Linked DNA regions of Mus musculus: regions 1, 2 and 3 are each reported to be linked to region 4. Evidence: microRNA targets listed by miRTarBase, many of them from high-throughput screens and not tested one by one. Region 4 holds a microRNA gene; each other region holds the end of a gene's coding sequence.
What was found. The annotated mature microRNA mmu-miR-466f-3p reads CAUACACACACACAUACACAC and lies in region 4 at 3,637-3,657, opposite strand. An mRNA with a match to its seed (bases 2 to 7 or 8) in the 3' UTR can be bound and repressed. Matches are read on the target gene's strand: a 7mer-m8 pairs with bases 2 to 8, a 7mer-A1 pairs with bases 2 to 7 and ends in A, and an 8mer does both.

Region 1: the mRNA of Ptprk is a reported target of mmu-miR-466f-3p. Seed matches in the 3' UTR shown: 7mer-m8 at 839-845, 8mer at 1,166-1,173 and 8mer at 1,236-1,243.
Region 2: miRTarBase lists Prl5a1 as a target of mmu-miR-466f-3p. Seed matches in the 3' UTR shown: 7mer-m8 at 1,310-1,316.
Region 3: the mRNA of Ndufc1 is a reported target of mmu-miR-466f-3p. The part of its 3' UTR that is shown has no 7-base or 8-base seed match.

The regions. Positions count from the first base shown.
Region 1 is chr10:28,595,168-28,602,295 of GRCm38, forward strand. Ptprk (protein tyrosine phosphatase, receptor type, K) reads left to right here. Exons shown (of 32, transcript NM_008983.2): 32 at 635-2,230. The coding sequence ends at 688. Among named protein-coding and RNA genes, the nearest start is that of Themis, 70 kb to the right of the region's middle.
Region 2 is chr13:28,150,258-28,157,385 of GRCm38, forward strand. Prl5a1 (prolactin family 5, subfamily a, member 1) reads left to right here. Exons shown (of 5, transcript NM_023746.4): 5 at 860-1,338. The coding sequence ends at 1,045. Among named protein-coding and RNA genes, the nearest start is that of Prl5a1, 11 kb to the left of the region's middle.
Region 3 is chr3:51,401,387-51,408,514 of GRCm38, reverse strand. Ndufc1 (NADH:ubiquinone oxidoreductase subunit C1) reads left to right here. Exons shown (of 4, transcript NM_025523.1): 2 at 267-370; 3 at 1,103-1,179; 4 at 2,896-3,036. The coding sequence ends at 1,162. It also overlaps the pseudogene Gm9442. Among named protein-coding and RNA genes, the nearest start is that of Ndufc1, 4.0 kb to the left of the region's middle.
Region 4 is chr2:10,465,263-10,472,385 of GRCm38, reverse strand. Mir466f-2 (microRNA 466f-2) reads right to left here and starts at 3,711; the gene lies at 3,618-3,711. The region is part of intron 10 of Sfmbt2 (Scm-like with four mbt domains 2); the gene reads right to left. It overlaps Mir466m (microRNA 466m), which reads right to left and starts at 5,723; the gene lies at 5,640-5,723. Mir466f-1 (microRNA 466f-1) reads right to left here and starts at 5,442; the gene lies at 5,349-5,442. It also overlaps Mir669f, Mir669e, Mir669b, Mir669d, Mir669l and Mir669d-2, and 2 more genes.

The sequences.
Region 1 (7,128 bases), not on the chromosome of region 4:
TACAAAACAGAAAGATATTGAAATAATCTAACAAGTAATCCAGATAATCCACATGGTAGATTTTTGCGTGATATAAAAAGACTCAGGATGTGTAACATACAACATGTAAAACAGAAAATCCTCTTGAGAACTCCGATTTTTTATTTTTCTGAGACGATTACTATGTCAATCGTGTACTCTTCCCCTCCCCCATGCCAAGACAGGGTTTCTCTGTGTAGCTCTGGCTGTTCTAGAACTCACTCTGTAGACCATGCTGGCCTTGAACTCAGAGACACACCTTGTCTGGTTGCTGGGATTAAAGTGTGGTCCACCACAGCCTGGTTCTTTACCTTTTTGTAAGCTGGGAAACATTCTTAACTATTTTAATCCTATAAAAATCCTTGGCACTATATTAAATGATAGGAAATTTAGGGCAAAGATAAAACATCTTTTTACTGTTTCTTTTTTTTCTTAAAAGGGATCATTAGACTTGAGAATAAAATATATATGGCCAGATGTTCCTGTTATATGCAAAATAAGTAATTTACGACTTTTAAATAATCTAAATTGGGTGTCAAGAACTCACACAGATGCTATTACTCACCATTAGCCTTTTGCTAACTCCTTTCATCCCTTCTGTTCTGACATGATGCAGGAGCAGTATCGTTTTTGCTATGATGTGGCGTTAGAGTACCTGGAGTCCTCATAGTTCGCTGAGACTATTTGCAGAGCATCCAAGCAGAAATCCATTCGTCTGTTGAGCCAGCAGCTGTTGTACCTGTTACTGCACCGAGAGATTTTAATGTACGGGGTGGGAGGCTTTTACATTGGAGAGGCAAATGTATTTTTCTTATAAAGTTGTGTATCTTAATAAAAAGGACTTGATCAGTTTCTGTGACTGTATGAGAGCATCCACATTTCATGCCACCTAATTTTATCTTTAATCAGAGGCAGATTTGGATGAGAAGTGGTCTGTGTCTGTCCAGTGACCACACAGCCTTTTCTCTCCTGCTTTCTGTAGAGCAGCTACCACACATTGCATGCACTTTGTAAGTGGCATTTCCCTCTCTTTTTAAAATAAAAACTGTGGGACCTTAAGAATGGGGAAGGAAACAAGCTGTGCAAAGTCATGGTAAATTTCATTTTATATGTTCCAAGTGTACCAGATTCTATATAAATGTGTGTGTGTGTATATATATATATATATATATATATATATATATATATATATATACATACATACATATATACATATGTGTGTATATATACATACATACATACATATATATGGCTTATTTTCTTTTAATGTGCAATGATGGCTGGATCATTTAAAGTTCCTTTTAGAAAATAACATAAGCCAAAGACTGAAGTGTACATATGTCTATATGGAAGAAGCACATTATATTTATTGGTTACTTACATTACTTTTTTGATGGATAAAATACTACCGCCACACAATCATTTTTGTTGTTGTTGTTGTTTTAGGAGAGTTAGCTAAAAATCAATGGTAAACAATTTTTTGTAGATTATTTTTTGTATGTTTAGTGTAAGTAAAGGATAAACTTTTTATTCATAAACCAGGAAGCAATGTTTTCTGTAGTGGTTCCCTTGTGTACATGCCTGTGAATTAAATTTATGTAAAACATCTTGGCAATTGTCTTTGAATAGAGGACCAAATTAAAACATTTCACTGAAAATGTAGTTCTCCCCCAGTTTCATTAGGTAAATGATGGCTTGATGGTTGCCTATGAGAAATCTGCACAGCAGAGGACATTGCAGGTAGCTTGCCCAATGTGGAATATTACCTTTAAGCATTGTTTAAACATTAAAGAGTTAGTCTCTGCCTATGGCCTGACACTGTTCAGGATCACCAGATGACAACATTGCTGCTTGCAGGATCAAGTTTTAGCAGAGTATAAACTGCCACCGTAGCGGCGCAGTGTTCTTTTTGATGTTTCCAAGCACAAGCTTTGGGTTTCTACAATAGACAGTGCAAATAGATGTGTGGTCTCATTCATGTGCCCCACATAGCTGTAGTGTCACATCCTCATCAGCTTGCAGTTTGTGATTAACTGAAGCATTATGGTGTCCTCTTCCTACATTGCCTGTCTATGACATGGTGCTTATAAAGATTTAATGAGAGTAAGAGTGAAATAAAGTTTTTATAATTGTAACATTTACTGATTGAACATCATTTTCTCTTCTAAATTTTCATGCCTTTATTCCCAAATAAATAATCTCTCTATGACTCAATATGAGAATGTCACAAAAATCCTACTGAAAGCATGATTGACATCCAGGCTATAATATGGTATATTTTTTGTTCCCTAAACTGTATTACATAGTTCAGGTCAGTGAAGGAAGAAATAGCTAAGGGTTTAGTGTCTATTATTATTATTATTATTATTATTATTAATCATTATCATTATTTTATTTTATTCTCCCTCTTGTCATAATTTGTCTTAGCTGCATTCTGCCAAATATCTAAGAAAAAAACACTTTAACAGAGCAAGAATTTATTTTAGCTCTCATCATGAAGGTTTCAGTCCCCAGTCCCTTGGCCTCCTTGCTCTAGGACTGTGGCAAAGACGCTGATGAGCAGGTCAGGATGGTACAGCAGTTCATCTCCAGATAGCTGGGAAACAGAGAGAGTTCTCTCCTAGAGCAATGCTATTTCTTCTTTTGGATGGAAAGTGGAAAGGCAAGCAGGAACATGTGAAAGAGAGAATATTCTAAGTCAGGGTTGCTAAGAAGAAACACCTTGACAAGGTCATGAAAGCCCCACATAGTCCAAACACCACTGCCTGTGCTCTGCCTCCTAATCCAAGTTTTGGTATATAGATCAAATGTAGCAGAGACACCTGACTAAAAATTTAAAAATTCACAAACTCATGAAGGGGTTGTTTACCTGGCAATGATAGCTGTATTACCACTGCATGTGATTCTGATTTGCGCCTCAAGAATTTGTTTCTCCTCATAGAGCTGCATCAAACTAACAGCAAATACAGCTATTCACAGCTATACAGTAAACCTTATAGGCTCTAACATTCAATAAAATAACAAATGAAGTACTTTTATCCTACATCAATAAATAAAACATACCATGTTTGCTTTGTTTGGGTATTACAGTAGCCAGTTTGTCAGAAGACAACGTGAGAGGCTTAACTCAGACTGTATAGTTTTGAAAACCTCCCTTGGTAGACCCATGTGTGGTCATGTCCTTCCCAAGAATGTCCTTCTGGAGAGGTACCTTGTAGAGTTCTGGAATATAAGCCCTGGAATACTTTGAATTGGAAATGTCTCCAAAGTGTGTGTGTGTGTGTGTGTGTGTGTGTGTGTGTGTGTGTGTGTGTGTGTGTGTGTGTGTGTGATAGACTTGGTGTCATACTGATGGGCTATGAGGAAATGAGTCACCATGAATGTCTTAATCCATTAACCTAGTAATAGATTCATAATCTGGTAACATCATTGAGAGATGGTAGAAATTAAGAGTTGGGGATCTAAGAAGATGACACAGCCATTAAAATACCTGCCATGCAAGCATGAAGACCTGGTTGGATCCCTGAAGCTCACTGGTCAGTGTTACTATCTGAATTGGTAAGCTCTAGGTTCTCTGAAAAGCTGTGTCCAAAACTAAGGTGGGGAGAAATTGAGGAAGATATATTATGTTGACAGACACAGAGAGACTAATAGTTTTTCAGTGGAAGACATGCATGACTAAGAGCATGCCCCAGGAAGGGCATATCTTGTCCCTGTCCCCCGACTGTCACTTTGCTTGTACTCTATAGCAGCCATGAGGTAAGCAACTTTGCTCCATGGTACATGTCCTACCATGATATTCAGCCCCACCACACCTTAGTAAAACCTTAGGAAGCAAAATAAACCTTTTTTCTGTTAAGTTCCTCTAATCAGCCATGTTGTCATGCAACATGCATCTCCTAGGTAATCCTTTCTGTATCCCTCTAGCAGTTTCTCTTGAAATATCAAGTCATAAGGTTGAATCTGACAACCTTTCTCCTGAATGTCCTTTCTAGAAAGAGGTTGGAAACTGGTGATACACAGACACAGTTATGCCCCTCAATACTGTTAGAAGCACATAAGCAACTGGGAATGTACACATTTTAACCAAGTACTTTGAAAATGCGTTAGTGTTCTAGCCGGAGCTACCTATGCAACCCTTTTCTTGTAACAAAAGGACTTCAGATAAAGGCAGTGTACCCAATTGATCTCCGGTATTGAGAGGGAAACAAGGAGACCCTTGCCTGGACATAGACAGGCTACACTGGCTTCTCACCAATGTTGCTCATTAAACATTTGTCTGTTGAGACCCTTCCAGGTTCCAGACACAAGTTTTGAAATTTGGACTCCAATAACTGTTCCTTATCAAATATGTTTCACTCCCAGAAAATAGAATGACAGTTCCCAGAACCTTCAACTACCATGAATGATAAGATGCAGGAGAATGTACCTGTAAATTCAACTGGAAGTCAGGCATGGTCTTGATACTTAAACTAAAAATATTTAGGGCCTAACAGTTGCCCATTTGTATTTAATTTCAATGAGCTTTGACAGTGATTCATTCTTAACAAAATAGTCAGTAATCTGTCACATACCCAAGTTAAGTGTAGTTAGCAGAATATACTCATAAAATATTACCAGAGACTTCATACAAACTTTACAGCCTTCCTAGGTTTGTGGCAGTGTTATAGGAAAGACTGATTTCATGTAGAATCTGTGTATGATTTATTTATTGCTATATTAGGTCAAGTGAAAAGATAGGTTATCATTATTCACTCTTGACTAATAATCTCTACTTATCTACTATTTCATAGGGTCTCCCTACAGCTTAAGGAGGACAGAGGAATAAATGACATCTGCAACTTTCCACAGCACTAGCCTAGTCAAATGTCTGCTGAGTTTCAGAATAGTATCCCCAGAGTCAAAAGGAAAAGTTCTTTCTTGGGATCTACTGTACGAGATATATATATCTTATATGTAAGATATATATTCTAGAATATAAATTGTCCCAAGATCAATAGAAATGTGATAGATACATAGATACATAACATTTTAGCCCTTCCATCCTCCACAGTGATTTGAAATGCTAACCTGGAAGATAGAAAATACCAAGGAGACCCTGCCGCATCAAATCCTAAAAGAAAGTAATGGATGGATTTCTAAACCACTGAAATAAACATAAGGTCTCTACAGAATATCTCAAAGCTCTGTCTTTAATGTTAAGATCTGTCCAGGGAGAGAAGCAGGGACACATCTTTATGACAGCTAACACCTTTCAGAATGCACTTGTCAATTACACAAGTAATATTCAGCCCCAAAACTTAATATAAAATGGTACTGCCAAATTAGCTGTTTAGGTTTTATTTATCTTGACTCTTCCCTGAGTATATAGAATTGAGACCAAGAAAGCTTTGAAAAAGGAATTGTACTTAGAGACATGTATTTAGTGTACCCAGATGTGGGAATAAGAAATTCGAATTTGAATTGGATTCTTAAATAGAAATTAGATTGTTCAGGCAGGGAAAGGCCGTGTTAAGCTTTGCTTGTGGAGGTATGGAGCCACACAGTCCAACTGGAAAAGTAGAGAAAGCATGAGAGCCATGTTCCCTTGAGTTGCTGAAAAGAGCAGTACACTCATAGTTACTGACTGGAAGATACTTCAGGGTAGAGACTAGAACCCTATTTTGTTTTGGTTTCAGGGTTTTATATGACCACTCTGGACATATTGCAGCAGATGATGTCACCTTTTGCTTTTTACTAGCAAAATTCATAAAGCAACAACAACACTACCCTGAATTTTCCACTCTATGCTGAGAACTGGATACTACCCACTCTGAACCCCACCCCCACCCCCAGTTCTGCTATTAGAAGCACAGATGCAGGAGTCATGGTGATTGGCAACAGTCACTTGACAAGACAGAAGGAACAGTGTCAGGAAGATGACAAGTGCCTCTTGGACTTAGAAATATGACTACAACTGAAGGATACAGCACGTGCCCCTCAAGCATGCACTGCATAGGAACACAGATCCATTCTGATGCATCTCATTGTTCAAGACAATGCCAAAGGAAAAAAATTCAATTTCTAAGATTTGTTAAAGTTAACAAGAAACATAGGTTTTTAAAAGCAAAATACAAAGCCTTCCGTGCCTACTGGATAACAAAAGTCTCTGAAGGCTGCATCTAGTGTGGGAGGGCTTTAGGCTCATGGTCAGTAGCCCACTGTAACATTGCACTGTTTTGTACTTTATACATTTGAATTCAAATAGGAGTTTAGTTGTCCCAAATGAAGCTATGCCTTGATTTTGTTGTTCTATGTTCTCATTGGACTTATTTTTTAAAACACATTTATCGAGTGGAAACTAGGAAGAGATGGCATTAGCCGAAGCAGGAAGAAGAGGAAGGTATCTGAGAGGGAATATAGTCAAAGTACATGATGTTTTTGTATGAAGATATCTTAATGACAGCTGTTCTTTACTCAGTGTACCCTGAAAAATAAAACATGGGGCTGGGTGGTGGTGGTTCTGTTGGGAAAGTGCTTGCCATTCAAGCATGTGGACCTCAGTTAGAATCTGAGTGTTCACATGATATCTAGGGATGGTCATAGTGATGATGGAATTTTGGATCTTTCTGGCCAGCTGGCCTAGCAATATCAATGAGATTCAAGTTCAGTAGAAAAACCCAATCTCAAAGAAGAAGATGGAATACTACTGAAGAAGACAGTGAGCACGACCTACGACCTCCATATAAAAGCCTACATACATTCTCTTGGGAACAGTTCATTGTTTTTCTCTTTTAGATGAGTATGTAAAGTTTCATCCGTTGTGAAAGTTACTCTTACTGAATTTAGATCTATTCATTCCGCCCAACAAAAGAGAAATCTAGCTAGTAAAATCTTTCCCTTTAAGGCTTTTGTTAGAAAGTCAGTCATACTACTAATAAACATGAAGCCACCCATGTAAATCAACAATCTGAGAACTCTGTAGCAGCCAGAGAAATTTGGGACATATAAGACAATATAGTTTCATCAGATGACAAGAAGCATATTTGAGATTTTGAATATTAAACTTGAATAAGTTTTCTGTCTCTTTCCAGCCAACAAAAAATATTTTTCTATATTTAATTTTATTCT
Region 2 (7,128 bases), not on the chromosome of region 4:
GCCAGGTAATCTCATAAACAATCTAGGGACTAATAGGACTGTGGCAGCTCAAAAGTGTTTCCACTCAGCACCCCACAACACAGAGCTCTCCTGATGCATTAATGATTGCTAGAAATAGCATGGACAGTGCCTTTCCTGTGCAGTCTAAGTATCCCGACGATTTCACCACAGTCATCCATACATTAGAAGAATTTTAACCCACCAGGTGCAATCCTCATCAGTTCTGTAGCTTTGTGTCCATAAATTATGGAAAACGAATATTGTTGAAATAGAGGAAAGCAAAATTGTCAATTAGCCGGGTGGTGGTGGTGCAGACCTTTAATCCCAGCACTTGGGAGGCAGAGGCAGGGGCAGGCGGATTTCTGAGTTCGAGGCCAGCCTGGTCTACAAAGTGAGTTCCAGGACAGCCAGGGCTACACAGAGAGACCCTGTCTCAAAAAACAAAAACAAAACCAAAAACCAAAAAAAAAAAAAAAAAAAAGAGTAGTAAACTACAAATGGCACCTCAGGGATGACATGGAAAACATGGAAGCCTCCTCACAAGAGAACTGATTATAGATTCTTCCATATCCCTTGGTCAAAACCATGTCCATAGTCAAGAAGCAATTCTGTCTCCTCCTAGAATGATATATTTCATCTTGGATCAACTATATTACAAAAATATATGCATAGTTCTGTCTAGTTTTAAGATAACTAACAAATTGGTAGTACCCTAGTCTACATACATGAAACACGTGTATTTCTTTAAGATTTATATTCATAATATTCTTCAAAATATCATTCAAATTGTTTAAATAATGAAGCTCAATAAATATTAATAATGTGAATAATAACTGGCTGACTTTTATTTGGTAAATAGGTTAATCCTGACCTTAAGAAAAATGAAGACTACCCTGCCTGGTCAGGAGAGCCATATGTACAGCAATCAAAAAGGAGAGTTCAACTTTTTGGTTTGCATAGTTTGTTTTTCTGCTTGAACAATGATGCACAGAAGGTTTCTGATTTCATCAGTATCCTGAGAGACCAAATTGTGCCTAATCAATGAAAAGCTCTCATCCTTCCTATCTATTTCTGGGGCAGTCCATACTGATCCAATCCTTAAAAAGTTCTTTAAGTTTTATAATATTTATGTGTGATTAAATCTAAAGGGTCACTTCTTTTCAAATTTTTATGTTTAATTAAATATAATTACACCACTTCTCCTTCCCTCTACCCACTGCTTGCTACCCATTGTCCCCTGACTCATTTTACTCTTTATAAAATGAATTTTTATTAATTATAATTCCACATGCATAATGTATTATTGCTATGTGTATGTATAAATAAATGAATAAATATATAAATGTAGCCCGTCTTTATTGTTGCTTTATATATTGCTTTCTTTATTGTATTCTTTTTAGGGTTGACAACATAATATTGGAGAACCATTTTTCCCATTTCTTTCTTCATTTCACCCACATACTGATATTCCCTCTCTAGTACTCCTCTCCATCCCACCATAGCCTCTTTGATCTTTCCAGTTTAATGTAGTTGTTCCAGGTAATAAACTCACTTCTGAAATTTGAAGCTAAGTACCATAGATGGGAGATAAGATACAGTGTTTGTCTTTCTGAGTTTGGGTTACGTCACTGACACTTTAGAAATGTCAGTGTCTAACAAACTTAATTTTTCATCATTTCTTTTGTTCATTTAACAATAAAAAATTAAACCTGTTCAAATTTGTTACCAAAAATAGTTTTTAAAAGATGATTCAATTTCACTTAGAATCATAATAAGTTAATATAAGTTATTATAATCAAGGTTTTGATCCTACAAAATAAACTGAAATCTCAAGTATTTTTATGAAAGCCAGCCATTGACTATGAACCATTTTCACAGAAAAATAACGAAAATGCAAATATTATAAAGTGTCTATCTTCAAATACCATAAATAGAATAAAGAAAAAGAAAAGATCTACTGAATGGGCTTAACTAGAATGCAAGATATGGAGCACAGCATTGGAATCTGAAAGATCAATACAAATTATTCCATCTGAAAATTACAATAACATACTAAAAAAATTGCAGCAGACTGAATAGTCAAACAAGAAAATATTCGACATTCACACTACTGTGCTTCAAAAGGGAAAAAATTATATATATACATATTTATAGTGTTGCCTGACCACTCAAAGACGGGAAAGCTGAAAATCTTTTAACTTTAGTAGAAGTTAAAACCTTAAAGATTCAAAACTCTTTGCGACTCTAGTTAGGGTAAATCCAGTGGTGTCCGCACATATGATAAACACAGTCAAATTTCATGAAAAAATTCAATTACTTAAAATAGACATGAGGGGATGTTGCCTTACCCACACAAAGACAAAAAAAAAAGCAAAACAAAAAAACAAATATCTGTGTATCTGTTCTAAATCCATGACATCTATAATCAATTAAGTAGCATGCACTAAAAGAAAAAGTCTATTATAAATATGCCTAGATAGACTATCTTTCTGAAATGAAATAAACAATTTCACAAACATAAGGCTTCTTTGGCAGTATTAAACCTAACTGAAAGAACTCATGTATGCTAAGATATCACTGTGGAATTCAACTTTTGCCATCAGCTGACCTATTCTTAAGAATTGCTCAAAGAAACAATAGGAAAAAAAGATTTTATCCACACAGAAAAGATAGATTCTCTGCAGTATTCTATCAGATAGTAAAAGAACAGAGAGAGTAAATGGTTCTCACTGTATTCCATAAAACAGAAAGGAAATAAACTCTCTAGAACTCACTCTATGAAAACAGTATTATCCTATTACCAAAGTCATATAAAGACACAACAAAAAGAAAAAAACTATAGAATTTTTGATAACGATGTAACATGGAGATTAAGCAGCTCATTAATGAATGATGAGTGGGTCAAGGAGAAAATTTAAAAAAAAAATCCTGGAATTAAATGAAAATGAAAATTCAATGCAACAAAACCTGATATTATTGATAGTTCATTGATGAGATCTTAGCATTTGAACTTCTTTTGTTAGTTCTAGGTCTGATATAGACCTATTAGACTGGCACAGAAGAGAACGTGTACAGGCAACTTGGAATTAGAAGTTAGATCTAACTTGAATAGAATGATGTCAGGTGGACAGAGGAGAGTGGGTTGATATATAAGATTTGCCTCCTGGTCCAAGCCTAGAGTGTGAGGGTAGATCTGGCTAGGTGAAAAGGTCACATGTGGTTTCAGAGGGGCCTATGGACTAGGTGATGGGTAGATAAGGTCCTGCAAAAGCCTAGGCATCATTTAGAGCCCAGTCAAGAGAGGCCAGAATAGGCCCAGGCACTAGATGCGTGACCCTGGCTATATATGGCAGTTTGAGGAAGGCAAGTAGATGGGAGCATCAAGAATACATACCATACTATACCCTAGAGAACGATGTAGGGTATATAGCAAGGGAGATAGTTTGGATGCAATCTAGAAGTAACATGTGCTGTTAATAGGTAGTTTAAAACATGAAAACAAAAATAATTGAAAATTCTAAAATCTTGACTTATTTACCCACATGTCCCTCAACTGAAGAATGGATACAGAAAATGTGGCTCACTTACACAATGGACTAATATGCAGCTATTAAAAATAACGACATCACTGAGCCACCTTGGGCGCGAACTCGGCAGATGGTCCCACCATATCAAGAGGACTGTCCACACCATAGGCACCCTAGTATACCCAGGATCTTGGGATCACTGGTGAGTGGAATGCAACATCTGTTCCAAAACAACCGGGAGGGACTTGTGCCAGCAGGTACAAAAATACAGGAAACCTAACCAACCAGCACTTGGGGTTCATTCCAGTAGGGACCAGCCCTGGGCCACCTTGGCCACAAACTGTATAGATGGTCCCACTGTCCCCAGAGGACTCTCCATGCCATAGGTGCCCTAGCATGCCCAGGATCTTAGAAACACTGAAGAGAGTCTGCCTCCAGAGAAGGTTCTGACTGCGGAACTAAGGTAAGACAGCCATCTTGTATACTGAGTCTTTAAGAGACCAGTCCACGCAGGGGAGCGCACAGGCCACAGAAGCAACAGACAGGGTCCCTTCATGCCTTCATCCTCAGCCAGGAGGCAGAGCTGAGACCCAGACCTCTGGGCACCAGAGGAAAGTTGGCCTCCAGGGAGGTCTCTGACTAGGGGACTCAGGTGAGAGCGCCATCTCCTTTACCGGGTTTCTCAGAGACCAATCCAAGCAGAAGAGCATGCTGGCCGCAGAAGCAACAGAGATTCTGGACAGGGTCCCTTCGGGCCTTCATCTTCAGCTAGGGGGCAGATCTGAAAACCAGACCTCTGTGCACCTTCCCTGCAAAAGGAGGGTTTGACCACAGAAAGTGTTCTGGCCACTGGGACTCAGGAGAGAGTTGTACTCCCAGGAGTGCTGACAGAGGCTAACAGAATCACAGGAGGAACAAGCTCCAGCCAGAGACAGCTAGAACATATAACACCAGAGATTATCAGATGGGGAAAGGCAAACATAAGAATCTTACTAACAGAAACCAAGATTACCCAGCATCAAAAAAAAGTAGTACTCCCACCACACAGCAAGTCCTGGATACCCCAACATACCTGAAAAGCAAGATTCAGATTTAAAATCATATCTCATGATGCTGGCAGAGGATTTTAAGAAGGGCATTAATAACTCAAAGGAATACAGGGGAACACAACTAAACAGGTAGAAGGCCTTAAAGAGAAAACACAAACCAATAGACTTAAAGACTTATAGAAAAACATAACCAATCAGGTGATGGAATTGAATAAAACCATCCAAGATCTAAAAATGGAAATAGAAAAAAATAAAGAAAACCCAAAGGGAGACAATTCTGGAGATAGAAATCCTAGGAAAGAAATCAGAAACCATGAATGTGAGCATCAGCAACAGAATACCAGAGATGGAAGAGAGAATCAAAGAAAATGCAAAAATCCAAAAAGATCCTAACCCAAAACATCCAGGAAATCCAAGACACAATAAGAAGACCAAAACTAAGTATAATAGGTATAGATGAGAATCAAGACTTTCAACCTAAAGGACCAGTAAATATCTTCAACAAAATTATAGAAAAAAACTTCCCTAACCTAAAGAAAGAGATTCCCATGAACATACAAGAAGTCTACAGAACTACAAATAGATTGGACCAGAAAAGAAATTCATCCCAACACATAATAATCAGAACAACAAAACACTAAATAAAGATAGAATATTAAAAGCAGAAAGGGAAAAAAGGTCAAGTAACATATAAAGGAAGACCTATTAGAATTACACCAGACTTCTCATCAGAGATTATGAAAGCCAAAAGATCCTGGACAGATGTTATACAGACCCTAAGAGAACACAAATGTTAGCTACTATACCCACCAATACACTCAATTACAATAGACGAAGAAAGCAAAGTAATCCATGACAAAACCAAATTCACACAATATCTTTCCAGGAATCCAGCACTAAAAAGGATAATAAAAAGAAAACTCCAACACAATAAGGAAAACGCTGCCCTAGAAAAAGCAAGAAAGTAATCCTTCAACAAACCTAAAGGAAGATAGCCGCAAGAACAGAATTCCAACTCTAACAACAAAAATAACAGGAAGTAACAATTACTATTTCTTAATATCTCTTACTATCAATGGACTCAATTCCCCATTAAAAAGACACAGGCTAACAGAATGGCTACATAAACAGGACCCAACTTATTGCTGGATACAGGAGACCCACCTCAGGGACAAAGACAGATACTGCCTCAGAGTAAAAGATGCTAAAACAATTTTCCAAGCAATTGGTCCAAAGAAACAAGCTGCAGTAGCCATTCTAATACCGAATAAAATCTACTTCCAACCCAAAATTATCAAAAAAAGACAAGGAGGGGCACTTCATAATCAGCAAAGGTAAAATCTTCCAAGATGAACTCTCAATTCTGAATATCTATGTTCCAAAGACAACACCATTCACATTCATTAAGGAAATTATTGTAAAGCTCAAAGCACACATTGCAATTAACACAATAGTTGGAGACTTCAATACCCCACTCCCATCAATGGACAGATTCTGGAAACTAATAGAAGTTATGAAACAAATGGATTTAATAGATATCTACAGAACATTTTATCCTAAAAGAAAAGGATATACATTCTTCTCAGCACCTCATGGTACCTTCTCCAAAATTGACTATATAATTGGTGACAAAACAGGCCTCAACAAATACAAGAAGATTGAAATTATCCCATGCATCCTATCTGATCACTATGGACTAAGGCTGATCTTCAATAACAACATAAATGATAAAAAGCCAATATTCACATGGAAACTGAACAACACTCTACTCAATGATAACTTGGTCAAGGAAAAAATAAGGAAAGAAATTAAAGACTTTTTAGAGGTTAATGAAAATGAACCCACAACATACCCAAACTTATGAGACACATTGGAAGCAGTCCTAAGAGGAAAACTCATAGCTCTGAGTGCTGCAAAAGAGAGAGAGAGAGAGAGAGAGAGAGAGAGAGAGAGAGAGAGAGAGAGAGAGAGAATACACTAGCAGCTTAATAGCACACCTAAAAGCTCTAGAACAAAAGAAAGCAAATTTATCCAAAAGGAGTAGACTGCAGGAAATAATCAAACTCAGGGCTAAAATCAAGCAAGTAGGAACAAAACAACTATACAAAGAATCAACCAAACAAGGAACTGGATTTTTGAGAAAATCAACAAGATAAATAAATCCTTATCCAGACTAACTAGAGAGCACAGGGGAGACATAACAACGGAACATGAGGAAATCCAAAACATCTCAGACCCTACTACAAAAGGCTATTCTCAACAAAACTGGAAAACCTGGATGAAATGGACAACTTCCTAGACAAATACCAGGTACCAAAGTTAAATCAGGATCAGATTAACGATCTAAACAGTCCCATTTCCCCTAAAGAAATAGAAGCAGTCATTAATAGTCTCCTAACAAAAAAAAAAAAAAAAAAAAAGCCCAGGACCAGATGGGTTTCGTGCAAAATTCTATCAGACCTTCAAAGAAGGCCTAATTCCAATTCTCCCCAAACTATTCCATATAATAGAAACAGAAGATACTCTACCAAATTCATTCTACAAAGCCACAA
Region 3 (7,128 bases), not on the chromosome of region 4:
TGGTGTCCCCGAACAAATTACTTAGGTTCTTTGAACTATGTTTCCTTGACTCTTTAAATTGGGGACGAACAGATAGAGGACAAATGACAACAAAGCCGTAGTGGAGCGCGCCTGGAATCCCAGCCCGGTGGAAGTGGAGACAGGCAATCAGGAATTCAGGGCCAGCCCGCACTACAAGAACCTCTATCTCAAAAATTACATCACTAGTATATGTTAGATATTCCTCGCAGACATCAATAAAACACATATTCTCTTTCCTTTTTCAGCTTCAACACGGTCGAAGTTCTATGTCCGGGAGCCAGTCAATGCCAAACCTAACTGGTTGGCAGTTGGACTGTCCGTGGGCGCCTCGGTTTTCATGTGGATTTATGTGAGTACCGTACTCACCGAGTCCCCTGGAGCTGAAGTTACAGACATTTCTGAGCTGCTTGTTGTTGGTCCTGGGGACCAAACTTGGGTCCTTTGCAAGCAGTACATGCTCTTAACTGCCAAGCCATCTCTGCGGCTCCAAGTTCATCTACATTTTTGAAAGTTTTTCCTGATGGAAGGCTTAATTGCTGCGGAGATCATTAAGGATTGAAATTAGGTCTTTGATTCCCAAGAATCTTATCATTGCATTAGTCATTGTTCTAGTTACACAGTCTGTCAGACTGTGGTTCTAAGAAAGTAGCTGCTCTCTGACTTCTAATTAACATACACAGAGGTGAGGGTTGGTCATTTAATCACAGTGTGAGGCTTCTAAGGTTGGAAGGACAGCATACTGTATTTAGACATTGCATACACACACACACACACACACACACACACACACAGAGGTACACAAAAGTATAGCATATACTTATCAGCCAGCCTACAACACACTCAACAGCTAGAGTGTCACTTCTTATAATTCCATATGCTTTCCACTGTATCATTCTCAAATTTAATGTCAGGCTGTGGCCAACAAATTATTCCACTAATAATTTTTGAATTTGAATTTCTTACCTTTTTAGTTGTTTTAATCCACCCAATTTCTCTCATGAAACATAAGGATCTCTACTTGGTTTCTTGGTCTTTAAGCTGCTGGAAGCTCACATTTCTAATTTTAACCATTATCTTGTAGCTCATCCAAACACACAATGAAGATGTTTTGGAGTATAAAAGAAGAAATGGATTGGAATAAACTTTGGAAATAATACAGTAAGTACAGTTATAGAGGACATAGATTATGGAAGTTTATCTGTGTGTTTGTGAATGAGGCAGGGTCCCACTCCAAGGACACATGCCTTTTTTAGTTCTAGCACTAGAGGGCTAGAGGGAGGCAGGTCTCTCTGAGGCCATCCTGGTTTAAGTAGTGAGTTCTAGGACATCCAGGGCTAAGTAAAGAGACCCTGCATCAAAAGAGAGACTGAGTCTCACTGCATAGCCTTGAACGCATTATATAGACTAGGATCCACCTGCCTCTGCCTCCGAAGTGCTGAGATTTAAGGAGTGTGCCTGCAGGGTGACACCAGTACTGGATGAGGCCATGCAAACCTGTAATGCGAGTACTGCAGAAACTGTGGCAAGGAGATGCTGAATCTGAGGCTAGCCTGGTCTGCACATCAAGACCCAGTCCCAAACAAAGACAGCAGGGAAATCAACAGTAACCACACCACATTGAGTCACATCTTCTTCACTGGTACTTTACGCTTTGTTTCATAGCACTTGGGACAAGCTGGCATCATTTGCGTGTGCTTCCTAATGTCTGTTTGCTGTTCTTATACTTGAACGTGACTTTCTTCTGTATTAATGTTCACGTTCTCAAACTGTCCTGAATGCCCAGCCATCTTAGGAGTTTAGTATTTGTAGGACAAATGACTGTATAGAGGCAGCGGATTCAGGATTTTTTTTTCTGCGTGGCCATGTTATGATTGTCACTACAGCTAGCATCCACTGAGGAGCTCAGGTAAAACCTAATATGAATGATTTAAGAGAGAAGATTTGTGAGTATGTTTGTGCACGCGTGTGTCACACAAAGCATATATATATCACTTAAAGTATATGCTTTATTTCTGAAAATTATTTGAAAGGAGTTCTTGATAAAGTGAAATCCCTCGTTACAATTAATCGTATCTTCTAGACTGAGGAGTTAGCTCAGTGGTTAAAGCAACGCCACATAAGCCTGAGGACCAGAGCTCAGATGCTCAGGAGGCATAGCATCCACGTGGAATTCCAAAACTCTGGAAGTGGACAGAGGATTCCCAGGATAAGATGGCTAATCATATTAGCCACTGGGGAGCTCTGGGGCCAATCAAGAAACCCTGCCTCAATGAATAAGGGGAAAAGCCATTGATAGACACCCCCAGCATCCGCCTGGGGCCTTCCTGTTGCTGTGCACACATGCAGACATGCACATGCACCACACACAAAATATGTCAGTTTCCATGGGTTACACTGATAAAAATACCTTGTATCTGCTAGATAATAAACATAGTAATCACAACACACATTTTCTTTATCTAAGAACTCTGAAATTTAACACTTTAGAATTTATTGTCCAAGTCTTCTGCTGCTTTTTTATACCACTTTGCCCATTTCAGTACTTATGCTATGGATCTAAAATTAAGTACTGAGGGTTTGTTTTTTGGTTTTTTTTTTTTTTTTTTTTGAGACAGGGTTTCTCTGTGTAGCCCTGGCTGTCCTGGAACTCACTTTGTAGACCAGGCTGGTCTCGAACTCAGAAATCCGCCTGCCTCTGCCTCCCGAGTGCTGGGATTAAAGGTGTGCGCCACCAAGCCCGGCTCTGATATTATTTAATAGATATATTTTCTAGATTTTTTTTCTGATGCTTTAAGATGAATTATTCAGAGATGTCAGTTTTAAGATTATCTGATCAGTCCCTTGGTTGGTTGTTGTTTTTCCCTCTTCTTGTAGGTCAGCTTCATGTGATGATCACAGTCCTTCCTCTGGATTCACCCTCAGTGACGGATGTGAGAAAAGAGTTACATGCGAATATGAGTCAGTCAACACGTTTTGCATGGTTAAGTTAAAGAAATAAAAATACTCGCGCTCCTCATGTGTAGACGGAGTCACTGGTCAGTGCTGATGGACTCTTACTTGTTTTGTTTTGTTTTGTTTCCAAGACAGGGTTTCTCTGTGTAGCCCTGACTGTCCTGGAACTCACTTTGTAGACCAGGCTGGTCTCGAACTCAGAAATCCGCCTGCCTCTGCCTCCCAAGTGCTGGGATTAAAGGCGTTCACCACCATGCCCAGCTAGCACAGAATTCTTGAAGCCCTGGGTTTAATCACATGAATGAAAATTGTAAAAAGGCTAGAGAGTAGATGTACTTTAAAATGATTTATTATCTAAGCCTTCCTTGCACAGTGTCTTTGGATGTCATTCTGGACATAAATTCAAAATTACAGTATTTGAGATTAGATATACAAATGCTATGAAAAATCAAAAATAATACCAACTTTCCTTATGTCAGTTTGGAGTCCTGATAGAGTGAGTAGTAAAACTTGACAGATTATAGACCAATCTCATGTAAATGCAGTAACTAGAGAAAGATCTATGATAGGAAGAAAGACAATTATTAGGGTCCAAGAATTGCCGAAAAAATAATACCCTAGCCTCAAATAGCATGCAAAAGTAGAGAGTGTTAGCTGAATTTCCCACATGCAGGGGTCTCCCATGGAGATCCCTGGTGGACTTGTAGGCCCGGCTTTTATTGTCAGTTAGGGGAATGCTCTTAGGGATTGGTTCTAATGTTTTGATTTAATTGGGAATCTTTGTGTCCAAATCCTGAAGGTCCTTGTCCCCAATTGTTTTTTGATTGATCAATAAAGATGCCAGCGGCCAATGGCTAGGCAAAGGAAGACAGGGTGGAACCTTTAGATTTTTGTTTTTTTGTTTTTTCCAGACAGGGTTTCTCTGTGTAGCCTTGGCTGTCCTGGAACTCACTCTGTAGACCAGGCTGGCCTTGAACTCGGAGATCCACCTGCCTCCCAAATGCTAGGATTAAAGGTGTGTGCCGCCACGCCCAGCTACCTTTAGATTGGGCCTGGGGTAGCAGGGGAAGGTTTAAGAGTGCCCAGCCTTTGAGGTAGCCAAGCCATTTTAAAATTAACTGGTGTGTGTGTGTGTGTGTGTGTGTGTGTGTGTGTGTGTGTGTGTGTGTGTGTGTGTGTGTGTCTTCTGGTGAGTGCACACGTACGACCTGCCAGGAGCCAAAGCAGTGTGCCTGAACTGGCCTCTACAGAACTCTAGGGAGGAGTGTGTGCCCCTTTACCTTGGTGGGTTAGCTCTCTCTGGGCGCTCTGACTGAGTCTACAATTCCTCAGGCTCTGGAGACCTCCCTGGGGGATTGATTAGTCACTCTAGCTACCTGTTCTTTTTGTTTTGTTTTGTTTTGTTTTGTTTTGTTTTGTTTTGTTTTGTTTTGTTTTGTTTTTGGAGACGGTTTCTCTGTATAGCCCTGGCTATCCTGGAACTCACTTTGTAGACCAGGCTGGCCTCCAACTCAGAAATCCGCCTGCCTCTGCCTCCTGAGTGCCCAGCTTTCTAGCTACCTATTCTTACTTCAGACCAGATGACAACAAGGTGTTCTCAGATCAACTACATGCAGCTGTGTTTGGCTGACCACTGGTTCCAGCATCCAGGTTCTCATTTCTGGGAAACAGAAACTTGGGCCCGAGTCTCCCAAACTGCCAGTTTGCAGTCTGTCATGGAGTCAGCCTGGCTCTGGCTAATTTTGTCCTCTCAACTCCAATATAGGCATATATGTTAGACTCCATAGCAAAGGGAGTTAAAATTGCAGGTGAAGCTAGGGTTGCCAGTAGTCTATCCTTGAGGTAAAATTACCCTGGAGTATTCAGTTGAGCCTAGTGTCATGACAAGGGTCTTTCTAAGTGGATGTATGAAGTCTAACCACTGGAGTGTGTGCTATTCTGTTTAAGTTTTGTACAAATGACCAATCTAGGGCCTTACACGTGTCGCACAAGCACCCCCTTAGCTCTGTCTTCACCATTTCCGGGTTTGAAGGAGATCAAGAGCCAAGAAATATCAAGGAACAACGTGAATGTTCCTGGTGAAAGTAAGACGCACCCATAAAACTTCTAAGGTAATAAATGTGTAGTGTTTCAGGTTGCTTCATTTGTTAGAGCACCTATAAGAAACTGGTGGGATCACATAGAAATTGAGGCCAAAAAGTCACTTAACTCGCCCTACGGCTGCTCTGAAAAGCCATCTTTGCGCTGTTCCCAGGTCATGCAGCCACTTTCGCTGCCCACCGACTCCTCTAATGCGGACTCCGGCAGCTTTCTCGCCAGAGTCCTCGAACTCGACTAATTTCTTACTCGCAGCATCAGACCACCAGCATGCCCCATCAAGTCAGACGCGGCAGTGGACACCAGCTCTGAGACCACCACCAAGGACTTGAAGGAGGAGGGCGTTGTAGAGGAGGCAGAGAATGGTACCTGCCAATAGGAACGCTCTAAATGAGGAAAATGGTGAGCAGGAGGCAGACAACGAGGTAGATGAAGAAGAGGAGGAAGGGGAGGAGGAGGAGGAGAGGAGGAGGAAGGTGACGGGGAGGAAGAGGATGGGATGAAGATGAGGAAGCTGAGGCTCCGACGGGCAAGCGGGTAGCTGAGTCTGATGAGGATAATGATGTCGACGCCAAGAAGCAGAAGACTAAGGAGGATGACTAGACAGCAAAAGGAAAAGCTAACCTTACACACTGCGACCAGTTCACGTGGTCACCTTAGAGCAGAGAAGCACAGCAGGCAGTGGCACCCACAGGTGACATGCGCTCTCCACGCCCCCACCAAAACCACAACATGAACTGGCAACGTGGGAAATAAAAAGAATCAGAACTTCCCAGACCCTGCTTTTTTTTTTCTTAAAAATACTTTAAAAGGAAAATGTGTTGGTATTTTTTATTTACATTTTATATTTGGGTACATATTGTTAGGGGTCAGCTATTTTTAACGATAACGGGTGATCAAACAAGCCTTCAGAGCGTTTTCTGTCCTACTTCGGACTTTACTTGTGGTGTGACCATGTTCATTATAATCTCAAAGGAGAAAAAAAACCTAGTTAAAACAACAACAAGCAATCTTATTCGGAGCACTCCAGTAACTTTCTTTTCTTTTCTTTTCTTTTTTTTTAAGATTTATTTATTATTATAAGTACACTGTAGCTGTCTTCAGATGCACCAGAAGAGGGCGTCAGATCTCATTACGGATGGTTGTGAGCCACCATGTGGTTGCTGGGTTTTGAACTCAAGAGCAGTCCGTGCTCTTAACCACTGAGCCATCTCTCCAGCCCTCCAGTAACTTTCTGTGTGTGTACCTAGCTGTACTATAAGTAGTTGGTTTGTATAAGATGGTTTTAAAAGGCCAAAGATAAAAAGGTTTTTTCCTTTTTTTTTTTTTTTTTTGTCTATGAAGTTGCTGTTTATTTTATTTTATTTTGGTTTTTCAAGACAGGGTTGCTCTGTAGCCCTGGCTGTCCTGGAACTCACTCTGTAGACCAGGCTGGCCTTGAACTCAGAGATCCACCTGCCTCTATCTCTCAAGTGCTCAGATTAAAAGCATGCACCACCACTGCCCGGCTGTTTTTTGGTTTTTGGTTTTTTTTGGTTTTTTTGGCCTGTTTGATGTATGTGTGAAATTATGTCCAACAATAAACCAGAATTTTATCTTGCGGAGTTATTTTTAAAAAAAAAAGTCAGTTAACTCCAAATTAGTAGCACTTGTCAAATAAATAAAATAAAATGAAAAATGGGCACTTTAAAAACCTTATTGCTGGCCAGGCGTGGTGGCACATGCCTTTAATACCAGCACTCGGGAGGCAGTGGCAGGCGGGTTTCTGAGTTCGAGCCAGCCTGGTCTACAAAGTGAATTCCAGGACAGCCAGAGCTATACAGAGAAACCCTGTTTCCAAACAACCAAAAAAAAAAAAATGCTGGGCTGGAGAGATGTCTCAGCTGTTAAGAACACTAACAGCTCTTCCAGAGGTCCTGAGTTCAAATCCCAGCAACCACATGGTGGCTCACAACCATCCTTAACAAGATCTGACTCCCTCTTCTGGATTGTCTGAAGACAGCTACAGTGTACTTACATATAATAAATAAATAAATCTTTAAAAAAGCAACAACAACA
Region 4 (7,123 bases):
TAAGACACATATCATTCAAATAGATCGATGAGTGGCAGTTTTGGGTTTGTGTGCATGCTTGTATGGGTATGTGCGTATGTATATGTATACTCATATACACACATGCACATGCACACATACATATACACACAGGCACATACACTGGGGGCATCACATGAATCAGAAGCTGATCCCGGACTCAACATGAAGTTGAGAATGAATTTCGACTCCTGATCCTCCTGACTCTGGCAAGATTTCCACCTTGTGAGTGAGAGCACTCACTGGCCCAGTACTACATAATCTCTAAAACTCTAAGTCACATATCATTCAAATGAATAAATGAGTGTCGTGTGTGTGTGTGTGTGTGTGTGTTGCGTGCGTGTGTATGTGTGTGTGTATGTATACATATATTCATATACACACATGCACATGCACACACACGTAAACACACATGCACATACATGAGGGGCATAACATGAATGTCTGGATGATCACTAACTGAAATTGAGCATGAATATGAACTCCTGATCCTCCTGACTCTGTCAACAACTTTCACCTGGTGAGTGAGACCGTTCATTGACACACTACTGCATAATCTATAAGACTCTAAGTCACATATCATTCAAATGGATCAATGAGTGCCATTCCTGTGTTTATGTTTATGTTTTTGTGTTTCCGTGCATGCGTGTGTATATGGGTGTGTATGTATATGTATATTCATATAGACACATATACATGCACACACAAGTATACACACATGCACATATATAGGGGGCATCACATGAATCCAGGATGATCTCTTACTCCTCATGAAGTTAAGCATGATTTTCAACTCCTATACCTCCTGACTCTAACAAGGGTTTTCACCAGGTGTGTGAGAATTGACACTGGCCCTGTCATACATAATCTCCAAAGGTCTAAGTCACATATCATTAAAATGCATCGATGAGTACCATTCCTACATGTATGTTTGCATGTGTGTGTATATGTGTGTATGTATATGTATATTCACATAAACACATGTACATGCATACACTTCTGCACACATGCACATAAACGGGGGACATCACATGAATCCCAGACTGATTGCTACCTCATCATGAATTTAATATGAATTTGAACTCCTCATCCTCCTGACTCTGGCAAGAGTACTTAACCTCCTAACTGAGACATAGCTCTTGATCAGTACTGCATAAGCTCTAAAGTTCTAAGTCACATACCATTCAAAAGGATATATGAGTGCCATTCCTGTGTGTGCTTGCGTGTATGTGCATATTCATATAGAGAAGTGAATATGCACACAGCTATACACACATGCACATTCTTGTTGGGCATCACATGAATCGCATGATGAACTCTAACTCATCATGAAGTTAAACATGAATTTGAACTCCAGATCCTCCAGACTCTGGCAAGCGTTTCACCTCCTAACTGAGACATAGCTCTGGATCACTACCGCATAAGCGCTAAAGCTCTATGGCACATATCATTTCAAAGGATATATGAGTGGCATTACTGTGTGTGCATGTGTGTATATGCATATTCATATAGAGAAGTGAATATGCACACAACTCTAACACATGCACATTCTTGGTGTGCATCACATCAATTGCATACTGATCTCTAAATCGTTGTGAAATTAAGCATGAATTTGAACTCCTGATCCTCCTGACTCTGGCAAGTGTTTCACCTAGTGAGTGAGACTTCTCCTTGACCCATTTATACATAGCTCTAAAACATTAAGTTACATATCATTCAAATGGATAGATGAGTATCAATTTTGAGTTTGTGTGTGTGTGTGTGTATTTGTGTGTGTCTCTGTGTGTGTGCATGTTGTGTTGGTTAGTTTATATGTGTATATTTATATGCATATATTAACATGCACACATACATATATGCACACATGCACATACATAAGAAACATCCCAGTCTGATTTCTATCTCTTCATGAAGTAAATTTTGTATTTGAACTCTCTCTTCACCTGACTCTGGCAAGTGTTTTTACCTTATGAGTGAGACTATTACTGACCCAGTACTACATAATATTTAAAGCTCTAAATTATATATCATACAAATGGATCAATGAGTGCCATTCATGTGTGTGTGTGTCCATGCATGCATGTATGTTTGTGTGTATGTATATGTATATTCATATACACATATACACATGAACACACTTATGTATACACATATGCACATTCAAGGGGAGACATCACATGAATCCAGGCTGATCCCAAATTCTTCATGAAGTTAAACATGAATTTGAACTCCAGATACTGATGACTCTGGCAAGGGTTTTTACCTGGTGAATCAAAACTTTCAGTGGCCAAGTACTACATAATCTCTAAAGCTCTAAGTCACAAATAATTCCAATGGATCGATGAGTGCCATTCATATGTGGGTGTCACATGTATGTGTATGTATGAGTTTATGTATATGTATATTAATATACACACATACATCACGGGATCATCACAAAAATCTCAGGCTCCTCTCTAACTCATCGTGAAGTTAAGGATAAAATTGAACTCTTTTATTATTAGGTATTTTCTTCATTTACATTTCCAGTGTTATCCCAAAAGTCCCCCATACCCTTCCCCCCCCAACTCCCCTACCCACCCACTCCCACTTCTTGGACCTGGCGTTCCCCTGTACTGAGGCATATAAAGTTTGCACGACCAATGGGCCTCTCTTTCCACTGATGGCCGACTAGGCCATCTTCTGATACATATGCAGCTAGAGATACAAGCTCCGGGGCGTACTGGTTAGTTCATATTGTTGTTCCACCTATAGGGTTGCAGATCCCCTCAGCTCCTTGGGTACTTTCTCTAGCTCCTCCAATGTGGGCTCTGTGATCCATCCAATAGCTGACTGTGAGCATCCACTTCTGCGTTTGCCAGGCCCTGGGCCTACTGACTCTGGTAAACATTATCACCTGCTGACTGAGACCCCTCTCAGGCCAAGTACTGCATAACCTCCAAAACTTGAGGTGACATATCATTCAAATGAATCACTGAGTGCCATTCATGTCTGTGTGTCTTTGTGTGCCTGTATATGATTGTATGTATGGATATGTATATTCATATACAAACAGGCAAATGCACACAAAACTATACACCCATGCACATACACGGGGTACATCCCAGGAATACCAGGCTGATCTCTAACTCATTATGAAGTTAAGCATGAATTTGAACTCCAGATCTTTCTGACTATACCAATCGTTTATATCTGGTGAGTAAAAAGTTTCATTGGCCCAGTACTACATAATTTCTAAAGCTCTAAATCACATATCAATAAAATAAATCGATGAATACCATTCCTGCGTGTGTGTTGATGTGTTCATATGAATGCGTGTATATATGGGTGTGTATGTATATGTATATTCATATACACACATATACATGCACACACAACTATACGCACATGCACAAACATGGGGGGCAAAACATGATTCACAGTTTGATCTCTAAATCCTCATGAATGTAAGCATGAATTTGAACTCCTGATTCTCCTGATTCTGGCAAGCATTTTCAACTAGAAAGTGAGAGCACTCACTGGCCCAGTACTACATAATCTCTATAGTTCTACGTCACATATCATTCAAATGGATAAATGAGTGCCATTCGTGTGTGTGTGTGTGTGTGTGTTACATGAGTGTGTATGTGTGTGTGTATGTATACATATATTCATATACACACATGCACATGCACACACACGTAAACACACATTCACATACATGGGTGGCATCACATGAATGCCAGGATGATCTCTAACTGAAGTTAATCATGAATTTGAACTCCTGATCCTCCTGACTCTGTCAACCATTTTCACCTGGTGAGTGAGACCGTTCATTGACACACTACTGCATAATCTATAAGACTCTAAGTCACATATCATTCAAATGGATCGATGAGTGCCATTCCTGTGTATATGTATTTGTGTGTGTGCATGCATGCGTGTGTATATGGGTGTGTATGTATATGTATATTCATATACACACATATACATGCACACACAAGTATACACACATATAGAGCAAGCAACACACAAATCCCGGGCTGATCTCTAACTCATCATGAAATTAAGCATAAATTTTTACTGCTGTTCTTCCTTACTCTGCAAGCATTTTCACCTGGTGAGAGAGAGAGAGCTCTTTTGGGCAAAGGAATACTCAATCTCTAACCTCTAGGTTGCATATCATTCACATGGATTGGTAAGTGGCAATTGTGGGTGTGTTTGTGTGTGTGTGCATGTTTGTGTGGGTATGTATGTATATGTATATTCATATATACATACATTTTCATGCACACATAAATATACACACATGCACATACATAGGGGTCATCACATTAACACAAGGCTGATCTCTAACTCATCATGAAGTTATTATGAATTTGAACTCCTGATTCTCCTGACTGTGAGAAATGTTTTTGCCTGGTGAGTGAGATGTCTCACTGGCCCAGTAAATTTACATATTATACAAATGGATCGATGAAAGCCATTTCTGTGTCTGTATCTGCGCATGCGTGTATATGTTTGTGTGTATGTATATGTACATTAATAGACACACATGCACATGCACACAAAACTATATACACATGCACATACATTCATGGGGGACATCCCATGAATTCTAGGCTGATGTCTAACTCATCATGAAATTAAGCATGAATTTCATCTCCTAATCCTCCTGAGTATGGCAAACATTGTTACCTGGTGAGTGAGATCTCTCCCTGGCACTGTCCTGCCTAAACTCTCAAGCTCTAAGACACATATCATTCAAATGGATGTGTGTGTGTGTGCATGAGTGTGTAAGTGTGTGTATATTCATATTCATATACACAAATGAACATGCACACACAAGACACACACCTGCCCATATATAGGGTACAGCCCATGAATCCCAGGCTGATCTTTAACTCATTATGAAGTTAAGCATGATTTTGAACTCTGGATACTGATGCTCTGGCAAGCCTTCCCTGGTGAATGAAAAGTTTCAGTGGCCCAATACTACATAATCTCTAAAGCTCTAAGTCACATATCATTCAAATGGATCAACGAGTGCCATTCCTCTGTGTGTGTTTGTGCTTGCGTTTATACGTGTGTGTGTATGTATATGTATATTCATATACACACATGCACATGCACACACAACTATACACACAGGCACATACATGGGGGGCATCACATGAATCACAGACTAATCTCTAAATTCTCAGGAAGTTGAGCATGAATTTGAATTCCTGATTCTCCTGATTCTGGCAAGCATTTTCACCTTCTGAGTGAGACCATTCACTGGCCCAGTACTGTATAATCTCTAAAACTATAAGTCACATATCATTAAAAGTGATCAGTGAGTGTCATTCATATGTGTGTGTTGCATGTGTGTGTATGTGTGTGTGTATGTGTATGTATATTCATATACACACATGCACATGCACACACACGTAAACACACATGCACATACATATGAATACCAGGATGATCTCTAACTGAAGGTAAGCATGAATTTGAACTTCTGATCCTCCTGACTCTGTCAATCGTTTACACCTGGTGAGTGAGAACATTCACTGTCCCCTATTGCATAATCTCTAAAACTCTAAGTCACATACCATTCAAATGGATTGATAAGTGCCATTCCTGTATGTGTGTGTTTGTGTGTGTGTACGTGCGTGTGTATGTGTGTATGTATATGTATATTCATATACACACATGCACATGCACACACAAGAACACACACAGGCACATACATAGGGGCCATCACATAAATCCCAGGATGATTTCTAAATCTTCATGAAGTTAATTATGAATTTGAACTCTTTATTCTCCTGACTCTGGCAAGCGTTTTTACTTAGTGAGTGAGATGTCTCACTGGCCCAGTATTACATAGTATTGAAAGATCTAATTTACATATCATACAAATGGATTGATAAGTGCCATTCATGTGTGTTTTTCCACGCGTGCATGTCTATGTTAGTGTGTATGTATATTTATATTTATATTATACACACATGCACATGAACACACACGTATATACATAAGCTGCATCACATGATACAGGCTGATCCCTAACTCTTGATGAAGTTAAGCATGAATTTCAACTCCTGATCCTCCTGACTCTGGCAAGGATTTTAGCCTGGTATTTGAAGCCTCACCCTCACTCAATACTACATAATCTCCAAAGCTCTACGTCACATATCATTCAAATGGATTGACAAGTGACATTCCTGCATGTATGTGTGTGCGTCTGTATGTGTATGTGTACATATATTGATATGCACACATGTACATGCACACACAAGTATAAACACATGCACATACATGGGGGGCATGACATGAATCCCAGGCTGATCTCTAACTCATCATGAATTTAACCATGAATTTGAACTCTGAAACATACTGACTGTGGCAAAAGTATTCAGCTAACGAGTGAAACAACACACTGGCCCAGTACTGCATAAGCTCTAAAGCTCTGAGTCACATATTATTCAAAAGGATATATGATGCCATTACTCTAAGTGGTGTGTGTGGGTGGGTGGGTGTGGGTGTGTACATGTGTGTACATGTGTGTATATGCATATTCATATAGAGAAATGAATATGCACACAACTATACACACATGCACATTTTTGGTGGGCATCACATGAATCGCATGCTGATCTCTAACTCATCATGAAGTTAAACATGAATTTGAACTCCAGGACCTCCTGACTCTGGCAAGGGATTTCACCTCCTAACTGAGACATAGCTCTGACCTGGTACTGCATAAGCTCTAAAGCTCTGAGTCACATATCATTCAAAAGGATATATGAGTGCCATTCGTGTGTGCATGCGTGCATATGCATATTCACATAGAGAAGTGAATATGCACACAACTATGCACACATGCACTTTCTTGGTGGGCATCACATGAATCTCATGCTGATCTCTAACTCTTCATGAAGTTAAGCATGAATTTGAACTCTGTAGCCTCCTGACACTGGCAAGAATATTCACCTCCTACCTGAGACATAGCTCTGGCCATTCCTGTGAGTGTGTGTGCATGCGTGTATATGCATATTCATATAGAAAAATGAATATGCACACAACTATACACACATGCATATCCTTGGTGGCCCAGTACTGCAGCATCTCTAAAACT